Elephas maximus indicus: one gene and its partner. The protein of the gene in region 1 interacts with the protein of each later gene in a pairwise test. Links are inferred from orthologs where the notes say so. Each region holds a gene or a part of one and is shown in the gene's direction. Other genes may lie near its edges.

Region 1 (10,671 bases):
TCCCAGACTTATTTTCTGCCACTTAACTAGCTCTTTGGGCTAAGACAAGTCAGTTAACCTCTGAGTCTATTTCCTCATCTATAAATTGCATAACAGTACCTACCTCATTGGTCTGATGCGCTAATTAAACATACTATATGTAAAGTATATTGCTAGGCACAAAGGAAGCACCTGGTAAATGGTGGCTATTCCTAATAATATCATGAAGGAAGGGGTGCTTTGACACAAGAAGTGCTTCTCCCAGCCTTCCTGAATCTCATCCCTCTGTGCTGCTCCTCTGAAGCTGTGTGGCTGCCTGAGAACTCTGCCACCGCCCAGGCTGCCTTTGTGCTGGGAAACATGAGGCCCTTTTTTATGGTCTACCTCGCCATCTCCGCTCTTCCTCTGATTTTCCAGTTAAAAAAAAAAAAAACAGTTACCATCAAGTTGATTCTGACTTATGGCACCCCATGTGTGTCAGAGTAGAACTGTGCTCCACGGGATTTTCAATGGCTGCTTTTTCAGACGTAGATCATCAGGCCTTTCTTCCAGGGCACCTCTGGGTGGACACGAACCACCAACATTTTGGTTAGCAGCCAAGCATGATATGTTAGGGGTAGTATAATATAGTGATTTAGCTTGGATCAAAGGAGAATGAAGAACACCAAGGTCACAAGGTAATTATGAGCCCAAGAGACAGAAAGGGCTACATGAACCAGAGACTGCATCAGCCTGAGACCAGAAGAACTAGATGGTGCCCGGCCACAAACGATGACTGCCCTGACAGGGAGCACAACAGAGAACCCCTGAGGGAGCAGAAGAACAGTAGGATGCAGACCCCAAATTCTTATTAAAGACCAGACTTAATGGTCTGACTAAGACTAGAAGAATCCTGGAGGTCATGAACCTCAAACCTTCTGTTGGCCCAGGACAGGAACCATTCCTGAAGCCAACTCATCAGACATGGATTGGACTGAACAGTGGGTTGGAAAGAGATGCTGATGAGGAGTGAGCTACTTGCATCAGGTGGACACTTGAGACTATGTTGGCATCTCCTGTCTGGAGGGGAGATGGGAGGGTAGAGAGGGTTAGAAACTGGCAAAACGGTCACAAAAGGAAAGACCAGAAGGAGGGATGGGGCTGACACATTAGGGGGAGAGTAAGTGGGAGTATGTAGTAAGGTGTATATAAATTTATATGTGAGAGACTGACTTGATTTGTAAACTTTCACTTAAAGCACAATAAAAATTATTAAAAAAAAATATATATATATATAGTGATTCAGAACACAGGCTTCGGTGACAGACCTGGGATCGAGTCTTCAGCTTTGTTTCATACTAACTATTATCTTAGGCAAGTAACTTAACCTCTCTAAGCCTCAGTTTCTCCACCTGTAAATAGGGGTAGTAGTAATACCAATCTTAGAAGGTTGTTACGAGGGTTAAATGAGATAATACTTGTAAGCAGCCAGACTTGACACCATGCCTGGGTACTTCTCAATATTATGTATCTCCTGCTCCCACTTTGTTTATTCACTCTTTTTGCCTCTGCCCTTTCCCTGACCACAAGATAGATGCTAGTTCTTTCCCAGCTAAAGTTAGGGTTCAGGTTTTTGAGTACAAGAATATACTTGGAAGCAACTCTATGCTAGGAACTGGGGACCTGGGCTCTGGTTCAGACTCTGCTATTATCTGCGTGATTTTGCACAATACTCTTAGTATTTCTGAGCTTTGGGTTCCTCGTTTATAAAATGAAATATGTGGTCTCAAATGTTTCTTCTGCTTCGAAAATACTGTGTATATTAGCTGAGGTTCCTTTTGTTGTGAGAAATAAAACTGAACTCTGGATGACTTAACCAAAAAAAGGTTTTCTCTTCTGTTAGGGAAGCCTCTAATTTAGAAGCCTTGGCTCTTTGCTACTCAACCTTAAGTATCACTCCCCTGTTCTTGTTTCTTTTTCAGATCTGCGGAGTCCTGGAACGCTCCGATGCTCCATCCCTGAAGTTAACTCCTATCCCAAGCACCCATCCTAACCTCCAAGCCTATCTTCAAGGCAACACCCAGGTCTCCCGAAAGAAGCTCCTGCCTCTGCTCCAGGAAGCCCTGTCAGCATATTTGGACTCCATGCAGATCCCTGCTGGGCCACCTGAAATAGTGGGTGTGTCCAGGGAGCAGGTGGACAAGGAAATGAACAGGGCAGGTAACTCCCTGATTCCTGGAGTGAGTCAAGATGAGGAAGACCCTCCATTGCCCCCAACGCCCATGAACAGTTTGGTGGATGAGTGCCCTCTGGATCAGGGACTGCCTAAGCTCTCAGCTGAGGCCATCTTTGAGAAATGCAGCCAGATCTCGCTGTCACGGTCGACCACCGCCTCCCTATCAAAGAATTGACTGTTGGGAGGGGAGGGGAGAATGGGAAAGTTTCTTAACCCACTTCAAATGCATGTTTTGAGATGTTTGGAGATTTCAGCAACTCTGTCTTCATTGCTCCAGGATCTGGTGTATTGTTCTCATAAAAGCCGGGAGGAGGAAGAAGTAAAAGAAAGCAGCTGCTTTAAAAACGGCTTTCTACCTTCCCCTCAATCTCTACCAATCAAACAGATGTTATTATTTAGGTATTATTTAATTTTATTCTTTAAATCTGCACTGACTTTTCTCTATTTCATTACCCAGGGGCACAATGCAATACACATACAGTGCCAACAGAATGGGACAAAAAGAATGTGTACCCCCAGTGTGGCCTCAGCAAGGATCTTGAACAGAACTAATGTCATATAGAACCGTACAATCATTGATTATCTCCATTTTATTCATTTATTTGTGTACTCATTCAAATATTTATTGAATACCTACTTGAATCTAGATAGAAAGTAGAATGAGACTCTTGCTCCAGTTTTTAGCCTTTAGCAGATTTCCCATTCCATGACTCTTCTTTCTGCCCTCAGTTAGTTAATGGTGTTTGATTCAGAGATGGCTGAATTTCCATTTCTGACCTTGCTGTGACTCTTCTAGATCTTGTTTGGTAGCAGATTGGAGGCCATTATCTTCCATCCTAATCAGGTGGCCTGACTCTCAGGTTCTTTAGCTTATTCTGTTCCAGAGCCACAGGAACCCTGAAGACCCCTGGTTCTTGAGAGTCCAGCAGGCACCCAGGAAGGCCATTAGATCTCATAGGCATTCTTCCCAAAAGACAACAGAACTGGAATGAGAGCCCTGGCTCTGTTCCCTGCCTTAGCAGGTCTACCACTTTCTTGTCCATCTCTTTCTCTTCACTTCTTGCTCATATTAAAAGACAGCATGGAGTAGCTGGATTCTAATACTGACTGCCATGACTGTGTGTCTTTTGGCAAGACACTTCACGTCTCCGGATCTGACTTTGCCCATCTGTAAATTAAAGGTTTGGATTAGATGTTCTCTGGTATTCTGTGATCTGCCTCTTGCTGCCATCTTTTCTTTCTTCTGCGTCTCTGTATTTTTCTTCTGTCTTCTCTGGGAATGGCCAGGGTCACTGAGTTGTGTGTATTTATGTGTGATCATACCAAGGGACTTGGCCTCATGTAGCATGTTCAGAATTATGACTCACCATAGCGACCCAACAAAGAGCTCTCTCCCACTGATTTGTTCTGCATGCGTAAAGTCTCCCTTTTTTCTTTAGACCAAGTCATCCCTCCTTGTCTTACCCCACAGCTCTAGTCCATGTAGGTTGCCAACAACTTCACTGAACATTAGTGTATCGGATGGTTTTGGCATGACATCTTCTACTGTGAGGGGGACAGTCTGAGTTCACTTTGAAGGGATGATGTCTGTAGTCATTTGGAAGGTAAAAATAGTGGTGTAATCACTGAACCAAAGGAATTTATGTTTTGTAACTTGGGTACTTTATTTTGCATTTTGTTAAAGTATTAAATATTCTTTTCCTGTTTGGGGTCCTATTGTCTGTTTTTACCACTGTAATGAGGCCTTTCCCTCTGATAATTTTTCAGCCTCCTAAAGACTCATACCCCCTCTTCCTCCTGACAACCCCTTTTGGGAATAAGGAGCAGCAGGCTTCCATCTCCCCTCATCCTCAGCCTTTAATTTGTTTCTTCTTCCAGAACTCTTCTTATACTTCTCACTCCCCAATTTGGCTTATGCCTGAAAAATAGGCCTAAGATAGTCTTATAGCCAAAATGGTTTTTACTGCCCCCCTTTTTTTAAAAAAGCAGCTTCCAGAAGGTTATCCAAAAAAAAAAAAAAAACACCAAACCCATTGCCATCGAGTTGATTCTGACTCAGCGACCCTATAGGGATCTGGGAAGGAGAACAAATTGCCTTACGAAGACTAGCCATCCTAGGAAATGCTCTCTCCTCCCCAAAACCCGCCCCCACACAGGAGGCAGGGTTTCTCTTGGGCAAACCAGCTCCTTGGGAGGGAAGGTGGCAAAACCTGTTTGAAGATGCGTTTACCTCCCTTCTACACCTCCCTCATCCTGTGAAGCAACAGAAACAGCAGTGGAGACAGAGAAAAAGGGTACGGAAGTGTTGGGGAGCTGGGACAACCAGCTCCCCGACAACCCCAAGTGTTTAAAGGAGACAGAAGACTTGTGAAGATGGAAACGATACAAGAGGCAGGAGAAAAGGCAGTAGATCTTGGGTAAGTATTGCCTTGCTTATTGGAAACAGGAAATGAATAAATAGCCTAAGAGGCTTTCCTACGTCCAGTTTTTACCCAGTCAAATCTTAGGGTTCCTAGAGGAGAGGAGACAATGAGGGAATTAATTTGCCAAGAAGGAATGGAGGTGGCTGTAGGTAGGAAATGTCAATACGGTATAGTAACTGGGTGACGGGATTGCAGAACAATCCCCTGGTTAGAAAAAGGGAAGTTTCTAATTTTGTCTGATAAACCTGCCCATATTTTCCATTTTCCAATCCGTACCTTCCAGAATGGCCATCAGGAAAGCTGACCCAGAACTGAGTTTAGGTCCAGGTTCTCCTTCCAGCTAATCTTTCCCTCCCTACCTTCCTTCTCTGCCCCGCCACCTATGCCATGGTTTCCTCTAGCCACTCCCCAGCACGGTAGAAGAAAGGCAGGCCTGACAAGGTGCCATCTTCCCCAGCTTTGCCCAGCGACAGCTGGGCGGGTCTGTCTGGGTTCCAGCCAACTGTAATGTTGAACACCTCTCACCCTGACTTTGTAGGTGGAGGCAAGCAACTGCCATGGAAGTAAATATAATTAGTTTCACATTCTATTTTTCCTCTGCTTCTAAACCTAATAGTTGGAGTAATCTGCTTTCAGCAAGTGGTGAAAATGGGAGAAATATCTGTCTAGGAGACAAAAGATCTGGGTTTTTTTTTAAAGGCCTGCTGTCTGCTGTCTGTACCTCAATTACTTTCTTCATTCCAATGTCCCCTACCTACAACCCAGCCCCATTAAGACACTGTCTATGTTGTCTCATGATAATCCTTTCTTCCGGGGGACTATCTTAGGACCAGGGAGAATGTAGAAGCAGCAGAACTAGGAGCTGCCCTGAGACTTGGGGAGCTGGAGCTGAAGGAGGACTGGCAAGATGAAGAATTCCCCGGGTGAGGAAGTGTGAGGGAGGTTGGGCTAAGGGAGGGATGGCGAATTAGGCCTGGAAGGAAAAAGAAAAGATGAAGTCAAAGCGAGGAGAGAGAATTGATAAACTGACATCTGGCTTGATGCCTTCAGCCTGTATCTTTGTCCCATTTTAATATCTTCCTCTCTAGATTGCTTTCTGTGGAAGCTGGCCCTTCTGAAGATCCTGAAGACCCAAAAGGAGACTCACAGGCAGGTAGGTAAAGTTGAAATGGCCTTCAGTTCCTAATTCTGGTCCAGTGCAGAGCTATGCCACCCTTATCCCTTTGCAGTTCTCTTTCTCCTTTCCCAAATGTCCCCTGTGTCAGGTCTTTCTTTTTCAGAGTTTACCCATATTTTACTTCCATATACAGGAATTCTAATTGGGTCCCCTAACTCTCACATATCTTTTGTTTTTTTTTCTCCAATCCCAGGTACGTACCCCAGCACTTTAGCTCTATGTGGCCGGCGCCCCATGCGTAAGCGTCTTTCTGCCCTAGAGTTGCAACTGGATCTGAATGAAGGGCCTGGAGGTAGTGGAGCTTCTTCCACCCATTCTGCACCTTCTTCTCCTGGTGGCAGTTCTGACCTGGACGTAGAGGAACTGGAGACCCCTTCAGACTCTGAGCAGCTGGACAGTGGACATGAGTTTGAATGGGAAGGTGGGAAACAAACCTGAGGATTAAGCTGGTAGAAGTAGAGGCCAGTGTTAAAGAAGCCCAGGATAGATTTAACGGTACTGAAATTAGAACTAGTAAGGTGAGGACTTAGAGATAAGGCCAGCAAAATCAATTTCCTCAGGATAGAAAGGTAGAGCTTATAGATCGAGTGTGAAAGTAGTCAGTAGGGGAGGGAAGGTCCTTTGTTTATTGAGAAAAACTTGATTGAATGACTATTAAATGCTCTCACGGAGCTAGGACTGGGGTTATAAAGATGAGTAAGATAGTCCCTACCCTCAGAGAATTTTCTGTTTAGTAGGGAATAAACATATATACAAATAAGTGCAATTAAGGGTTATGATCTACAAGTGTATAGGATACAGTCCAGCCATGGAAAAGGAGACGGTCGGTTCTGCCTGAGAGGTATCAGGAGTGGCTTCACAGAGAAAGTAAAGTATTGAAAGCTGAAGTTACCAGGTAGTTGGAGAAAAGACATTCTAGGCAGAAGAAGCAACTCAAGCAATAACATGGCATGTTGGGGAATTCGAAGTGTTAAGCATGACTATTTAGATGTGAAAGGTTGGGAGGTGAAGAGAGAATGACAAAAGATAATGCTGGAATAAGAAGACAGGGTCAAATCATGGAGGCCCTTGCTACCACGGTCAGGGGTTTAGATTTTGTCCTGTAGGCAATGGGAAGTCATTGAAATTTTTCATCAAAGGAGTAACATAATCAAATATGATGGCTCTGTAAAAGATTGGAAACAATCTAAAGGCCCATCAGTAGAGTATTAATGCTGTTATGGTGTATCCATACAATGGAATACTATGCAACTCTTTTTTTTTTTTTTAATATAGAAGTTCTTTCTATTGTTATGGAAAAGATCATGCAGAATGGTGGGTATAGAAAAAAAAAAGTAGGGGAGAGAAGAAAGCTTGCTCTTTGAGTTAGAAGAAACTAGAGGCAGGGAGATCAGTTAGGAGGCTAGTACAAAGGCCAGGTGAGAAGTGCTAAGAATCCAAACCAGTAGTGGAAAGGATGATGAATATTGTGGACGTAGATGAAAGAGGATCTGGGGTCCAGTTGGTTTCAGGGCTGACAAAGAGGGAAAAGTCTCAGATGACACACAGTTTTTTCTCTCAGGCAGCTGGATGGACAATGAGGTCATTCACCAAGATAGGAACTATAGGAGAGAGGAGGAAGAGAATGAGTATGAGTTCTGTTTTGGACCTGATGAATTGGAGATTACAGGGAGACACAGAGATGTCTACTCTAGGCATTTGGGAATATAGATCTGGAGTTAGGAGAGAAGTCTGGGTTAGAGTGGCAAAAGTGGTAGCCATCACCTTCCTGGTGATACCTGAAGACATGGAAATAGATGAGCTTGCCCAGGGAAAAGCATGTAAAAAAAGAAATAGAGAATCTAGAAAAAAATCTGATTCTATCAAGAGTCGTAGACCTGCCGTAGTGCAAGGTCATGCCAGGGCCACAGGCTAGTGAAAAAGTGGGGATAACGAGACACAGCTGAGAGAATCCAGCAAGGTATTGGGTTGATAGGACAAACTAGGGCTAAAGAGTCAAGGAAAAAATGAGGAATGAGAGATTGGAGTAATAAACCGTAGGAACCTGGGTAATATACAGGATACAGAAGGAGAGAATTCTGCCTTGTTGATCCTTCCATCCCTCTCTTTTAGATGAACTGCCCCGGGCAGAGGGTCCAGGACCCAGTGAGGCAGCTGAAAGGCTGGGTCGGGGTTGTGTGTGGGATGTGGCTGGAGAAGATGGTCGTCACTGGAAGGTATTTCGAACAGGACAGCAGGAGCAGCGAGTGGACATGACTGTCATCGAACCCTATAAGAAAGTCCTATCTCATGGAGGTAATAGCTGGCATAAAGGAAGGGGTAGGAACTGTGGCTTCTTGAATAAAATGCCTAGGCTAGAGACTGAGTTATTGAGTTCAAAATCCTTCCTTGTAACTTCCAGGGACCCTGAGACCCTCGACTTATACAAGTGTACTGTCTATCAATACGTATTTGTTGGCTGAATGAATTTTTCTCTTGTCCTCCCCAGGTTACCATGGTGATGGTCTCAATGCTGTCATCCTCTTTGCTTCCTGTTACCTGCCCAGAAGCAGCATCCCCAACTACACCTATGTCATGGAACACTTGTTTAGGTGAGGCAAAAGGCCTGAAGAGATACAGGGAGGGTATTAGGGAGGGAAAAGCAAAAAAAATGATCGCCTTCCAAGATCAGTTGAGCCAATTACAGAGTTTACAATAATCAGTCCCTTTCACTCCCCACAATCCCAAACACACGCTTTCCCTGGCAATTTCATCCCATCCAGGTATATAGTGGGAACTCTGGAGGTGCTAGTAGCTGAAAATTATCTACTTGTTCACTTGAGTGGAGGCACAAGTAGGGCCCAAGTTCCACCTCTGAGCTGGATACGCCAGTGTTACCGAACCCTGGATCGACGGTGAGACCCTAGGACGAGAGGGCCTCAACTCTCAATCTTCTTTCTTTTCCATTGTTCCATTCTTTCTTCTTCTGTCTAGTCCCTTCCTTTGTTTCTATGTCTTCTAAACCCTTTTCTAACCCTCTCCTGTCTTTTGTCCTCTCTCAGAGTCAGGGAAATCTGGTTTCAAATCCTGCCTTTACCACTAACTATGTGACCTTGAACAAGTCACTTAACTTTTCTGGTACAGTTTCCTTATCTGTAAAGTGGGACAGTTGGACTCTGTCCTATAGGGTCACCATGACTCAGAATCCACTCGACCGCACACAACAACAAAATGGAAATGATAGTACTTTTGCCACTGGGTATTTGAGGCAATCAAGTGAATCACTGTAGTGTATTGCCTGCACACAGAAAGCAGTCTTCCTTTTCTCCCGATCTTGCCATTTATTTCACTTTCCACATCTCCATTGTCTTCTTTTCTTTTCCGTCTTTATCCCCAACCCATATATTTTTTTCTTTAGCATTCCTTTTTTTTCTTTGTTTTCCCATCTTCCTTTTGCTCACTTTTCTCTTTCTTCATACTCTTTTTTCCAGATGGTCTTCTTCCATCTGGAGTTTGTAAAAAGTCCTGATCATGGAGGAATGGGGAAGCGTGAAAAAGAAAGTTAAAAAAAAAAGGCATAAGAATGAGGGAGGGAATAAGGAAATTGTGTGAGGGAAGAGCAAGAAGATAAGTGGGGTACAGAAGATGAGGCTGAGGGATCCTGAAAGAAACGTTTTTTAAGAATGAGGAGCACTGGATGGCTGAGATTATACCTAAAGGAATGGGGATTAGACAAAGCTGCCAGAGAAATCTAGAAATAAGTAAGGGAAGTTAAAGTACAGATGATTGCAAGAGGTGGAGGAAGAAATAGGGAAATCTCATATTCTTCTTCAGGCTCCGGAAAAATCTGCAAGCCCTAGTGGTTGTCCATGCTACGTGGTACATGAAGGCATTTCTGGCGCTGCTTCGGCCTTTCATCAGGTACTAGCTCTCAGGACAAGGACTCCCTTCCCCCTTTTTCCAATTTAAAAGTCAAGATGAGGAAGACTTTGCCTCACCCTGACCCTTTCTAGTCTTAACCACTCTCTGCTTGCTACATTTCTGTTTGCAAGGGTCTCCGGGAGCCCTCTTCCCAGTACAGAACACACTTGATTTATCCTCTTTTTCAGTTCCAAATTCACACGAAAGATACGGTTTCTGGACAGCCTGGGGGAGCTGGCTCAACTCATCTCTCTGGATCAGGTCCACATCCCCGAAGTTGTCAGACAGTGAGTCCTGAGCTTAAGGATGAAGGTTTGGGGTGGGATGTATAAAGCCAGTCCTCACTTTCTAAATGCTTTAGGGGAGATACAAAAGAAGACTGCACACACACAGAGAAGACATTAAAGACTACTGCATCTAAAAAGAACAAATTAAAAAACTATACACCTAAGTGCTGAGGCATCAAGGAATAAAGGCGCGATCATAACACAGGAGTTAGAGGAGATTCAGGCCAGTCCTGGAAGGGATATGTTGGCGGTGAATAGGAAAGTGTATTTGGTGGAGGAGGCGTGTTAGGGAGCAAAAGATCCTAAGTGATGACTCAAGCCTCCAGTCTTCTAAGCTCTTCCAACTCACCAGTGAGTAAGACCCAGGCCATTCTGCCCCAGTACTTTCTCTCTCTCTCTTAGGCTGGACCAAGATCTGCATGGCTCAAGAGGGACCTTGCACAGGACTGGATAAAGGGCCTTAGAACCAGGCAGAAATATTGATCTGCCCACCCCTGAAACATCTGAGCTGTTTTGTAAATCATCTCACCCTCAATATCAGTGCCACCAGATCTTCACATCTTCGTGGGGTGTCATACCTTCCGTGACCCTACTTATGGCAGGGCTTTGAGGTCTGGAACCTCACCTGCTTGGGTGACTTTCGTGTCAGCTGGCTGTAGCATAGTGAGTGTAGTGACAAAGGCATTTTGG
Region 2 (10,164 bases), on another chromosome or scaffold:
CCTGGCCACAGTCCCTTCTCTGCACCCTGACTGAGGTCCCACCAGCCCACCCCTCAGTGCGACCAAACCAAAAAACCAAACCCACTGCCATTGAGTCGATTACGACTCATAGCAACCCTATAGGACAGAGTAGAACTGCCCCATAGAGTTTCCAGGGAGCACCTGGCAGATTTGAACTGCCAACCTCTTGGTTAGCAGCCGTAGCACTAAACCACTATGCCACCAGCATTTCCACTCAGTGCGATCAGACTGGGTTTATTCAGAACAGCTTTACTCAGAGGAAACAGGAAGCTGTGGCCACAAAAGAGGTTGGTCTCATCTCACTTCTCCAGCACCAGATGGTGCTGCTGCATTAGTAGGCCCCTAGGGTCGGAGCCTCCAGTTGAAGGAAACCTAGAGGGGCATTCTCTGAGCTAGGTAGGACCCTATCCCAGGCAGTTCTGGAGCCAGGGCCCTTCCAGCATGGTCTAGGGCTCCGCCCTCCCGGCCGGAGTGCAGTGTCAACCCTCCCTACTCAGTTCCGCACACCTTCAAGCGGGTCTGGGTCCTTACCCAGTGCCCTGTGGGTGATGATGATGCTTCAGCAGCTCTGAATGGCAGTCGGCTGGGGCCGGGCGGGGTTGTGGCCGGGAAGTGCTCCAGGGCCTGCCCCGCACTGTTTCCAGCCGGCAGCCCTGCCCAGAAGCGCGCCCAGCGCGTCAGGCCGCAGCAGCACCGCAGACAGAAGGCCCGCACGGCCGACATACTTGCGAGGAGGGGCGGAGTTAGATTAGAGCTCGGCCCCGCCCCCGCCTGGCTTGGCCGCGCCTGAACTACGCCCGCGCACTTGCTCAGGCACCAGGCGCAATCTGACCTCTCCAGCACGCGCACTTGCGCCCCAGCGGGCACAGAGCTCATTAGCTCCGCCGCTCTTGTAGGCGCGGGAAGCACAGAACTGCAGCCCTGCCTGTGGGTATGGGGGGAGGCGCTCATCGGGTCCTCGTCATCTCCTGCTGAGTCACCACCTCCCAGTTCTGTTTGGATCTCTGCTAATGTCAGAGACTGCTCAAGCCCACTAGGGCCTCCTTGCTATGAGGACCCTGCCACCCACTTTTACACCCGCCCAAACCCACGGCCTCCTTCCTCGGCTGGGGTACTTTCTTCCTCTGCTCAAACTGTGCTGGCAGGCATTGGAGGGCCCGTACTGCTGCTCCCGCGCGGCGGTGTCCCCCTCCCGCACCTGGCCTGGGGCCACCTCCTCCAGGTAGGGAGAGGGAAACCAGGCCATCTGTTTGTCCTTGTTCTCCACCAGGCACCAGCCTGTGCGCCAGTGCGGCGGGGTTTCAGATCCCGAGGCCCGCTGGGATCAGGGGCAGAGGGCAGCCCAGACTCCTCCCCAGCCCTACCCGAGGGTTGTCGCAGTAGCACATCCAGGGCCTCCCGGGCCTGCACATGGAAGGGTTGGCCCCGTGTGTCCTGGGTGCAGTAGGCAGTGCAGTCTCTGGTCCTCCAGGCTGCGGATGTCAAGCCTGCCCACAGGGTCCGGCAGAGGCTCCTTCCGGGCGGTCGGAATCACCAGGCTGAGGAGGATTGCAGGTGATAGGTGGGAATGGACCCACCATCCCCACCTCTCACAAATCTGCCCAATCTCCCAGTCTTTGCGTGACCCCTCCTACCCATACACCCTGTGCTTCCCCATCCTCCAAATGCCTCTGTGGCTGGGAGTTGGGGTAGGTCAGGCACCTGCCGGGTGGCAGCGTGGGCTACAGGTCCAGGATTTGCGGCGCGAAGAAGCTGTTGAGCGCCAGGCGCCGGGACACGCTTTCTACCGCCATCAGCAGCATCTGGACATAAGCCTCTAGGAGCCGGAGGCAAGCCAGCCCGCGGCCCGTGCGTCCCCCGCGCGCCAACAGCGGCACGTGTGGGAGCAAGACAGGAGTTGAATGTGGGACCCCGTCTCGGGGTCCCTCACCCATGTCCCAACCCCCCCGGCCTGACCAGGAAGCGCGGGGAGAATGAGGTTGGATCTGCGCAGCAGGCCCGCCTCCATCTGGAAGGCCTCTTGAAGGGTCTTCCGCGGCAAAAAGCCGGCGGATAGGTCTCCGAGAGCTCAGGGGTCCTCCGCGACGGTGGGGCCGAGTCGGGACTGTAGGGGTTGGAAGCTGCGGGGCACAGGAGAGCCCGTAGGCGGGGGTCACTCGGGAGTCATGCATTGGAGGCAGTTCGGGGACTCGGGGGTCGCCCCAGGGTCACTCACGTGGAGCTTTCTGAACTCTTCGCGACGCCTGAGCACGAAAGTGTCACCGCCTGTCCTACCAGCGCACGGAGAACTTCTGAGGGAAAAAAAGTTGGGGATCCTCGCAGGGGCGGGGCCAGGGACTACACCTTCCCCTTTGGGGCTGCCAGTGACCCCATGGAGTACCTGGAGTCTCCTGGTCTGCACCAGGGCGTAGACGCGCACACACACCACGTATCGGGGGCCTGCCATGGCTGAGTGGCTGAGGCTCAGTGGTCCCTGCCTCCTCCCTGCCGGCTGGGGGCTCCCAGGAACAGGCAGGGCTGGCCAAAATTCCCTGACAAGGCCCGAAGTTGGCCAGGCTTGTCACTTGGGGAGGTGTTCAGCTGTGGGTCCCTCGCAGGCTCCCCCCACTGCCCCCTAACTCTAAGATATGGGGGGCAGGAGCACAGGGCTGGGAGGCCCAAGGCAGAGGCCCTGGAGGTATGCACGACTTTGTGTCCTGAGGAAGGGGCGGTGGAGGGACTGGAACTGTGGGTGAGGCCCTTCTGTCCCAGTCTGGCAGTGGAAGGAGAGGGAAGGGCTGGCAGTCCCCACATCAAAGTGCTGCCTGGCCCAAGCTTTCTCTCCTCTAGTGCAGGGCTGGGGCCAGGAGGGCTTCCTGTAGGTGGACCCCTAGGCTCTGTCTTTGTACGTGCCTGTGGAGCTGTCTGCAGTTGCATCGGGAATATCCCTACCCAGTGCTAGGGGCTTTAGAGTCCTTTGTCTCTTTTAATGCTAAGAGAACAGTTCTCTTAATGCCCCCAAGCCACAGATGAGGAAATTCATGTTAAACTGATAATTAATGTGAGTTTTTCTGTACATGTGCACATGGGGGGTGGACCCCCACAGGCTCACCCTAAGTTTACCACATGGTAAAGAGACTTGGGCCAGAAGGAAAAGGGGGAGGTGGCAGGCAGCCAGGCTTGTTCAAGGAGCAGCCTCTAAATTCATAGTTTGTCACAATTTACTGCAAAGGAAAATCCCACCCTTAGCCTTTGAGGGCAGAAGTGAGCATTCCCCCACCAGCCTGGGCAGTGGGGCGGGGAGGCTGTGGAAGCCCTGGGCAGAGGCTTGCCTGGGTGCCCACCACTTATAGGGGAAGTGCCCCACCTTCTTATAGAGGAGACTTCCGGAGCCCCATCCAACCCACAGGAAGAGCAGTGATTCTTCCTGGAACTGGGGACCCAGCTTTCTCAGGAGTCTCTGTTCCCTAGACATTTCTCCAGGAATTTGCCCTGGCCTCATCATTTTCTTTTTTCATCAAAAGGCCTTTGTGTGTATGTGTGTCTGTCTGGCCAGAGGACCCCCCCCCCCCGGAGCCCTCACACCTGCCCTGGTCTCCACCCAGGTGATGAGCACCTGCTGACACAGGTCTGAATCAAAGCTTGATTTCAACTCAGCTATCACCCTCCATCCATCCTCAGGAGACCATGCTGAGGGTCCAGAGCCTGCTTCTCTGGAAGAGAGAAGAGAGAAGCCAGGGAAAGGTGAGGGCTCACTCGTAGCCAGCAATCTAGGGGAATGCTATGGCCCCTCCTGATCACAATGCCCAACCCCATCAACCCTGGATCCTCCCCACTCCCTTCCTCTCCACAACCACTACCCACCACAGCTCCTCACTGCCAATGCTGTCCCATAAAACCCTCTCCCCATATGACCTTTGCAAACAGAAAACAGATTATGTCCACTGGTTCTTCCCAGAACCATCCAGCACCTTCCCAACACCCTTAAATTCCCAGTCCCACAGAGGCCAAGGTCCTGTGTGACAGCCCCTGCCCACTCCTGGACCTCCCTTCTGGTCACCATCACCAGCATCCTGCTACCTCGGGCCCTGGGCCTTGACTGCCCTCCTCAGGCATTATTCATCACCCTTCAGGTCTCTACTGAAGGGTCACCTCCTCAGTGGCTTCCTGAATTTACCATGCCCTGTACTGACTCGACAGCACTGGGTTTGGTACATGCCCCTACCCACTGTTTGTAAGTGAATATTTATTTGTGTGCTTCTGTGTTGGTTGTTTCTGTCTTGACCATTGGACTATGAGCTGAGGCCTTCAAGGGTGGAGCCTTGTTCCTGTTCTGTCCAGCACCTGGAACAGTCCTTGGAACAAAGAAGACCGGCACCAATATGTGCAGAATGAATGAATGACCATAAGGAAGCTGAAGTAGGCTTGAGTCCGTTCCTCGGGAGGGTTTAACCCCTTATCCAAGCTGTAGGGTCCGAGGAGGCACTGCCCTCTGGAGCAGATGGGTGCGCGCAGCAGCCGAGACGCGCACTACCTTTTTGGCCGTTAGGGCCCCGCCCCGCGTTGCCAAGCGCCCGTTGCCAGGTGCCGGGGTATTGCGCCGGTGGGCGCACCACCAGTCTCAGGAAAGGCACAGAGCCCGGCTATGGGCACCCGGGACAGTCCGAGTGCAGCGATGGGGTCTTCGCGGGCCTCCACCTGGACTTCGCCTGCGCCTCAGCCCGAGCCCAGCGCGCCGCGCCGCAGCTTCCACACCACACTGGTCTTTTACTGGAGGAAGCGGGAGCGCCGCTCCGCGCAACGGAAGCCGGGCCCGGGACGCGGACGCAGGCCGAGGGTCGCGGGCAGGGTGCTGGCCTCCCGCCCCGCCGCCGCCGCAGGGGCCCGGACCCCCGTCCGGGAGGCGGCCTCCAGCCCCGCCCCCAGCCCCAGCCCCAGCCCCAGCCCCAGCCCAAACCCAGCCGCCACGCCCGCAGCGCGCGTCCCAGGCTCATGCGGCGGCGCGCTGACCTGGAGGCCAACCTGGAGGCCGCTCTGGAGGCCGAGCTGGCCCGGCAGCCCTTGCGCGAGCAAGATGGCGGCGCCCGGTGAGCGGGGGCGGTTCGGCTGCGGGGGACTTTTCTCTTTCCTGCCCGGCGGCGCGCGCTCCGAGGTGGTGGACGACCTGGCGACCGACGCGCGGGGCCGGGGCCGGGGCGCGGGGCGCAGAGATGCCGCCGCCCCCGCCCCGACGCCAGCTCTAGCGCAGATCCCCGAGCCGCAGGAGGACGCCTCCCGGAGGCGGCCCTGCCGGGCCTGCGTGGATTTCAAGACTTGGATGCGGACGCAGCGAAAGGTGCACGTGCCCAGGGGCGCCACCTCCCGGCCGAGGCCTGTGAGCCCCGTCCGACCCTCCAGCCCCCACCCGCACACCCCCCTCGTCCCCTGCCTCCTGAGCCCCCTCACCTTATTCTCAGGTGCCCCTGGGAGACGCCCCAATAGGCCGAGGCCGAGCGGTCCGATAGGCCTCATTCCTGACTTTTGCCTATCCGCTATGCCTAACTTTGACCCCCTCAAGGTAGGCCTGGCCTTGTCTGTCTCAGCCTCTCATGGGCTGAATCGGCTGCTGAACTGCTGTCTGGAGAGAGTGGGCCTCCGAGTGGGGCAGGAAAAGGTGAGGTTTGCGCTCTTTTGATTGAGGAGATTGAACTGACCCTTGGTCTACTTTTTTCTGCAGCAGGAGAGCAAGTTTAGGGAGGATTGCCCTCAAGATCGGGAGGAACTGGGCCGCCACAGCTGGGCTGTCCTCCACACCCTGGCTGCCTACTACCCCGACCTGCCCACTCCGGAACAGCAGCAAGACATGGCCCAGTTCATACACTTATTTTCCAAGTTTTACCCGTGCGAGGAGTGTGCCGAAGACATAAGGAAGAGGTGAGTTGTGTGTGCACAGGTGAGAGCATTGAACCGAGAGGCCTGAGTTGGAGGTGATGTCATAGGGGAGAACCTAGAAATACGTGGAGGAGCAGCAGAGGGTGGCGAAGGAGCTGGGAGCTCAGCAGAGTGGGGATTAGGTTCTTGGGCCATCTCTTTTCCCCCTCAGAGGCCAAACTGCCTGGGTCTGCTGGAAGATACTTCCTGTTGTACCACAAGGCTCTCAGGAGAGCCTTCTCAATGCAGTCTCTCACTTAACCACAATGACGACTGCACTCTGCCTGACTTCTGGAGCAGGGCTGCTGGCTTTCAGACCTTGGGAACCCACTGCTTTTGCTCCTAGGCTTTGGTGTGTGGCCCACCCAGGTGTCCTCTCCCACACCTCTGGCAGGGCCTTCTCAGAGCTTCCACGTGTGGGGTGGGACAGCCCTGGCTGTCTGAAGCCTGCGCAACAGAGCAAAGTCTCTTGCTGAGGTGAGGCAGCAGGGCCTCGGGTGCCAAGAACTGCCTGGTTTTCAATTATACCTGCTGTGTCTGGCTCATGAGGCCAGGGAGGCTGGGGTGAGGCTTCCAGGTTCTTAGGAGATTGTAATGTTGCCTGCTATGCTCTTTAATGTCTTGCCTGGGGCTTGCATTAGGTTTGCTAAGGGCCATGGGTGGGGTTTTTGGTAGCGGTGTTTTTTCTAGTTTTATTGTGGTTAAATAGGTATAACATGAAATTTGTCGTTTTAATTATTTTGTAAGTGTACAATTTGCCATGTTCTATGACCATCACAGCTGTCCATTTCCAAGTTTTCATCCCCCAAACGAAAGTCTGCACCCTTTCAGCAGTGATTTCCTATTTTCCTCCGTCCAGCATCTAACCCAAAAAACCAAACCTATCGCTGTCCAGTCAATTCTGACTCATATCAACCCTATAGGACAGTAGAACTGACCTATAGGGTTTCCACGGAGTGTTTGCTGGACCCAAACTGCTGACGTTTTAGATAGCAGATGTAGCTCTTAACCACTACGCCACCAGTAACTTTTAATCTGCTTTCTGTTTCTGAATGCGTTTGTTCTAGATGGTTCGTATAAGTGGTATCATACACTATTGGACCCTGGGCAAGTTTTTGAGCAGACTGGGAGCCCACCAAGGCCCAGGGCTCTGCAGGGTCAGCCTTCTCCTGGGAATTTGCTGTCCCTTCCTTAGGGGTTTCTTCTTGGTGTAGTTCTCAGCAGCCTTCTTCCCTCAGGAGCAGACTAGGTGCTGGCTGGGGGCAGGGGTAGGGCCAGCTGCCCCCTCCATCATCTCTGTGCTCTGCTCTTAGGATATGCCAGAACCAGCCGGACACGCGCACTCGGGCACACTTCACCCAGTGGCTGTGCCACCTGCACAACGAGGTGAACCACAAGCTGGGCAAGCCAGACTTCGACTGCTCACAGGTGGATGAGCGCTGGCGCGATGGCTGGAAGGACGGCTCCTGTGACTAGTGGGCGGGTGTAGGAGCCAGCTGGCCACTGCAGTGGGTGGAGCGTTCATTAAAGTGCATCAGAGCCAGAGCCTGTCCCATCTCAGTTGGGTGGCCCCGGGACGCTACCCACGGGGCCTGCCCTCTCAGGTCGGGAGGTGCCCGCGGCAGACACCCCCATGGCCTTCCCTCAGCTGAGGGCCCGCAGGGGTGGGAGCTGCAGGTGAGTGAGGCAGGAGTGGCCTGGGCTGCCCCTGTGCCAGATGGGATGTGGCCTTCTGCCCAGAAATGGAAGGGGCAGCCAGGAGACAGGCCTGGCTGGGCTTCCACGCGTCCACCCCACAAGGCCAGCCTGCTGCCTCGTAACCGTGTAGCCAGTGACTCTACAATGTTCTGGCCAAAGCATTTATGTCCTGTGTGCTTCAGGGAGGTGGCCTGGGATAGCTCTCCACCCTGCTCAGCTTCCTGCAGGGAGAGCTCAGCAGGATATTTCTGGAGACCTACACACAGCATTGTCCGTGGCTGGCCAGGATTGCCAGCAGGGGCCGGCTGCCTCTGAGGTTGAGACCAAAATAAAATGTTGTGGAACTGACTGAGGACCGGGCTGCCTGTGTTGTTTGCAGGGTTCGGGGCCTGCCCTCTTCCCTCTGTGTTCAGCGGCTGCCTCCCGTCAGAGTGCTGGCTGCCTGTGAGGAGGGGGAGTCCTGAGGCCTGAGTGGGCCTGGCACACTCCAGGAACGGCAAGGAGGCTGCGTAGTTGGAGTGGGGATGGGCGGGGAGAACAGGTGACAGGAGAGGCCTTTCCATTCCAGCAGGGTCTTGGTTTACTCCCAGCCTGACAGGAAGCTCTTGGAGGGCTTGGCAAAGAGGAGTGGTGGGACCTGACTTTTGAAAGCACCTGGCTACTTCACTGAAGCAGACAAGAGGGTGTAAGCTAGGAGGTTAGAGGAGAGCTGAAAGGGAGGCTGCCCTGGGGCTAGAGTGGTACCTGTCAGAAATGGCCCAGTGCTGGATATTTTCGAAGGTAGAGCCACGAGAATTCAGGGGTGAGAAAGGAGCTAAAGGGGACTCCAGGGGCTTGGATCAAAGCAACATCTGTGGGGTGGAGCAGGCTTGGGGGGTGACCGAGACCCTGCTCTGGGCCTGCCAAGATCTGCTCAGCCCCACCCCACCCACTCTCAGGTCTCAGCTCCCAGCAACAACCTGTGCCCCCTGTTCTGTGGTCATAAAGTCCTGGCCACTTCCACCCCAAAGTGTCTTGGCCGCCCACTGGGCAAGGGCCCATCTCCATCAGGCCTTGTGTGGAGGGAGCTGAGGGGAGCTGCTCAGGCCCCTGGAAGGGAGGGTGCCATACATGGAATTGTGCACCCCAAAAATATGTGTTTAGGCCATGATTCCCAGTATTGTGTGGTGGTTTTTCATTTTATGATTGATGTAATTTTCCTTTGAGTTGTAAATTCTAATCTCTGCCTGTAGTTAATGAGGCAAAATTGTTGTGGTGGTTGTTAGGTGCCATCGAGTCAGTTCTGACTCATAGTGACCTTAGGCACAACAGAACGAAACACTACCTGGTCCTGAGCCATCCTTATAATTGTTGTTATGCTTGAGCTTATTGTTGCAGCCACTGTGTCAATCCACCTCGTTGACGGTCTTCCTCTTTTCCGCTGACTCTGTACTCTGCCAAGCATGATGTCCTTCTCCAGGGACCAATCCCTCCTGACAATATGTCCAAAGTATGTAAGACACAGTCTCGCCATCCTTGCTTCTAAGGAGCATTCTGGTTGTACTTCTTCTAAGACAGATTTGTTCGTTCTTTTGGCAGTCCATGCTGTATTAAATATTCTTCACCAACACCACAATTCAAAGGAGTCAATTCTTCTTCGGTCTTTCTCATTCATTGTCCAGCTTTCACATGCATATGATGCGATTGAAAATACCATGGCTCAGGCCAGGCGCACCTTAGTCCTCAAGGTGACATCTTTGCTCTTCAAGACTTTAGAGAGGGCTTTTGCAGCAGATTTACCCAGTGCAACGCGTCTTTTGATTTGTTGACTGCTGCTTCTATGGCTGTTGATTGTGGATCCAAGTTAAATGAAACCCTTGACAACTTCAATCTTTTCTCTGTTTATCATGATGTTGCTCATTGGTCCAGTTATGAGGATTTTTTTTTTTTTTTTTTTACATTGAGGTGCAATCCATACTGAAAGCTGTGGTCTTTAATCTTCATTAGTAGGCGCTTCAAGTTCTCTTCACTTTCAGCAAGCAAGGTTGTGTCATCTGCATAACGTAGGTTGTTAATGAGTCTTCCTCCAATCCTGATGCCCTGTTCTTCTTCATATAGTCCAGCTTCTTGTATTATTTGCTTAGCATACAGATTGAACAGGTATGGTGAAAGAATACAATCCTGATGCACACCTTTCCTGACTTTAAACCAATCAGTACTCTCTTGTTCTGTCTGAACAACTGCCTCTTGATCTATGTAAAGGCTCCTCATAAGGACAATTAACTGTTGTAGAATTCCCATTCTTCGCAACATTATTCATAATTTTTTATGATCCACACAGTCGAAGGCCTTTGCATAGTCAACAAAACACAGGTAAACATCCTTCTGGGATTCTTTGCTTTCAGCCAGGATCCATCTGACATCAGCAACGATATCCCTGGTTCTGTGTCCTCTTCTGAAACCAGCCTGAATTTCTGGCAGTTCCCTGTCGGTGTACTGCTGCAGCCGTTTTTTAATGATCTGCAGCAGAATTTTGCTTGCATGTGATACCAATGATATTGTTGTATAATTTCCACA

The links. The genes of interacting proteins can lie anywhere in the genome.
Region 2: the proteins of BNIPL (region 1) and GFER interact in a two-hybrid assay, tested with the Homo sapiens proteins (2 studies listed by BioGRID and IntAct). The link is inferred for Elephas maximus indicus from reciprocal best matches to the Homo sapiens genes BNIPL and GFER.

Annotation. Positions count from the first base shown.
Region 1 is NC_064821.1:185,096,342-185,107,012, forward strand, and holds the start of BNIPL (bcl-2/adenovirus E1B 19 kDa-interacting protein 2-like protein), read left to right. Parts: upstream 1-5,426; 5' UTR 5,427-5,540; intron 5,541-5,705; 5' UTR 5,706-5,770; intron 5,771-5,987; 5' UTR 5,988-6,028; coding exon 6,029-6,215; intron 6,216-7,906; coding exon 7,907-8,089; intron 8,090-8,282; coding exon 8,283-8,385; intron 8,386-8,556; coding exon 8,557-8,688; intron 8,689-9,607; coding exon 9,608-9,694; intron 9,695-9,882; coding exon 9,883-9,981; intron 9,982-10,383; coding exon 10,384-10,435; 3' UTR 10,436-10,671. Other genes in the region: exopolyphosphatase PRUNE1, read left to right, coding at 1,941-2,369. UniProt on the Homo sapiens protein: May be a bridge molecule between BCL2 and ARHGAP1/CDC42 in promoting cell death.
Region 2 is NC_064830.1:59,084,800-59,094,963, forward strand, and holds GFER (FAD-linked sulfhydryl oxidase ALR), read left to right. Parts: upstream 1-4,973; 5' UTR 4,974-5,074; coding exon 5,075-5,335; intron 5,336-5,716; coding exon 5,717-5,913; intron 5,914-7,223; coding exon 7,224-7,386; 3' UTR 7,387-9,542; downstream 9,543-10,164.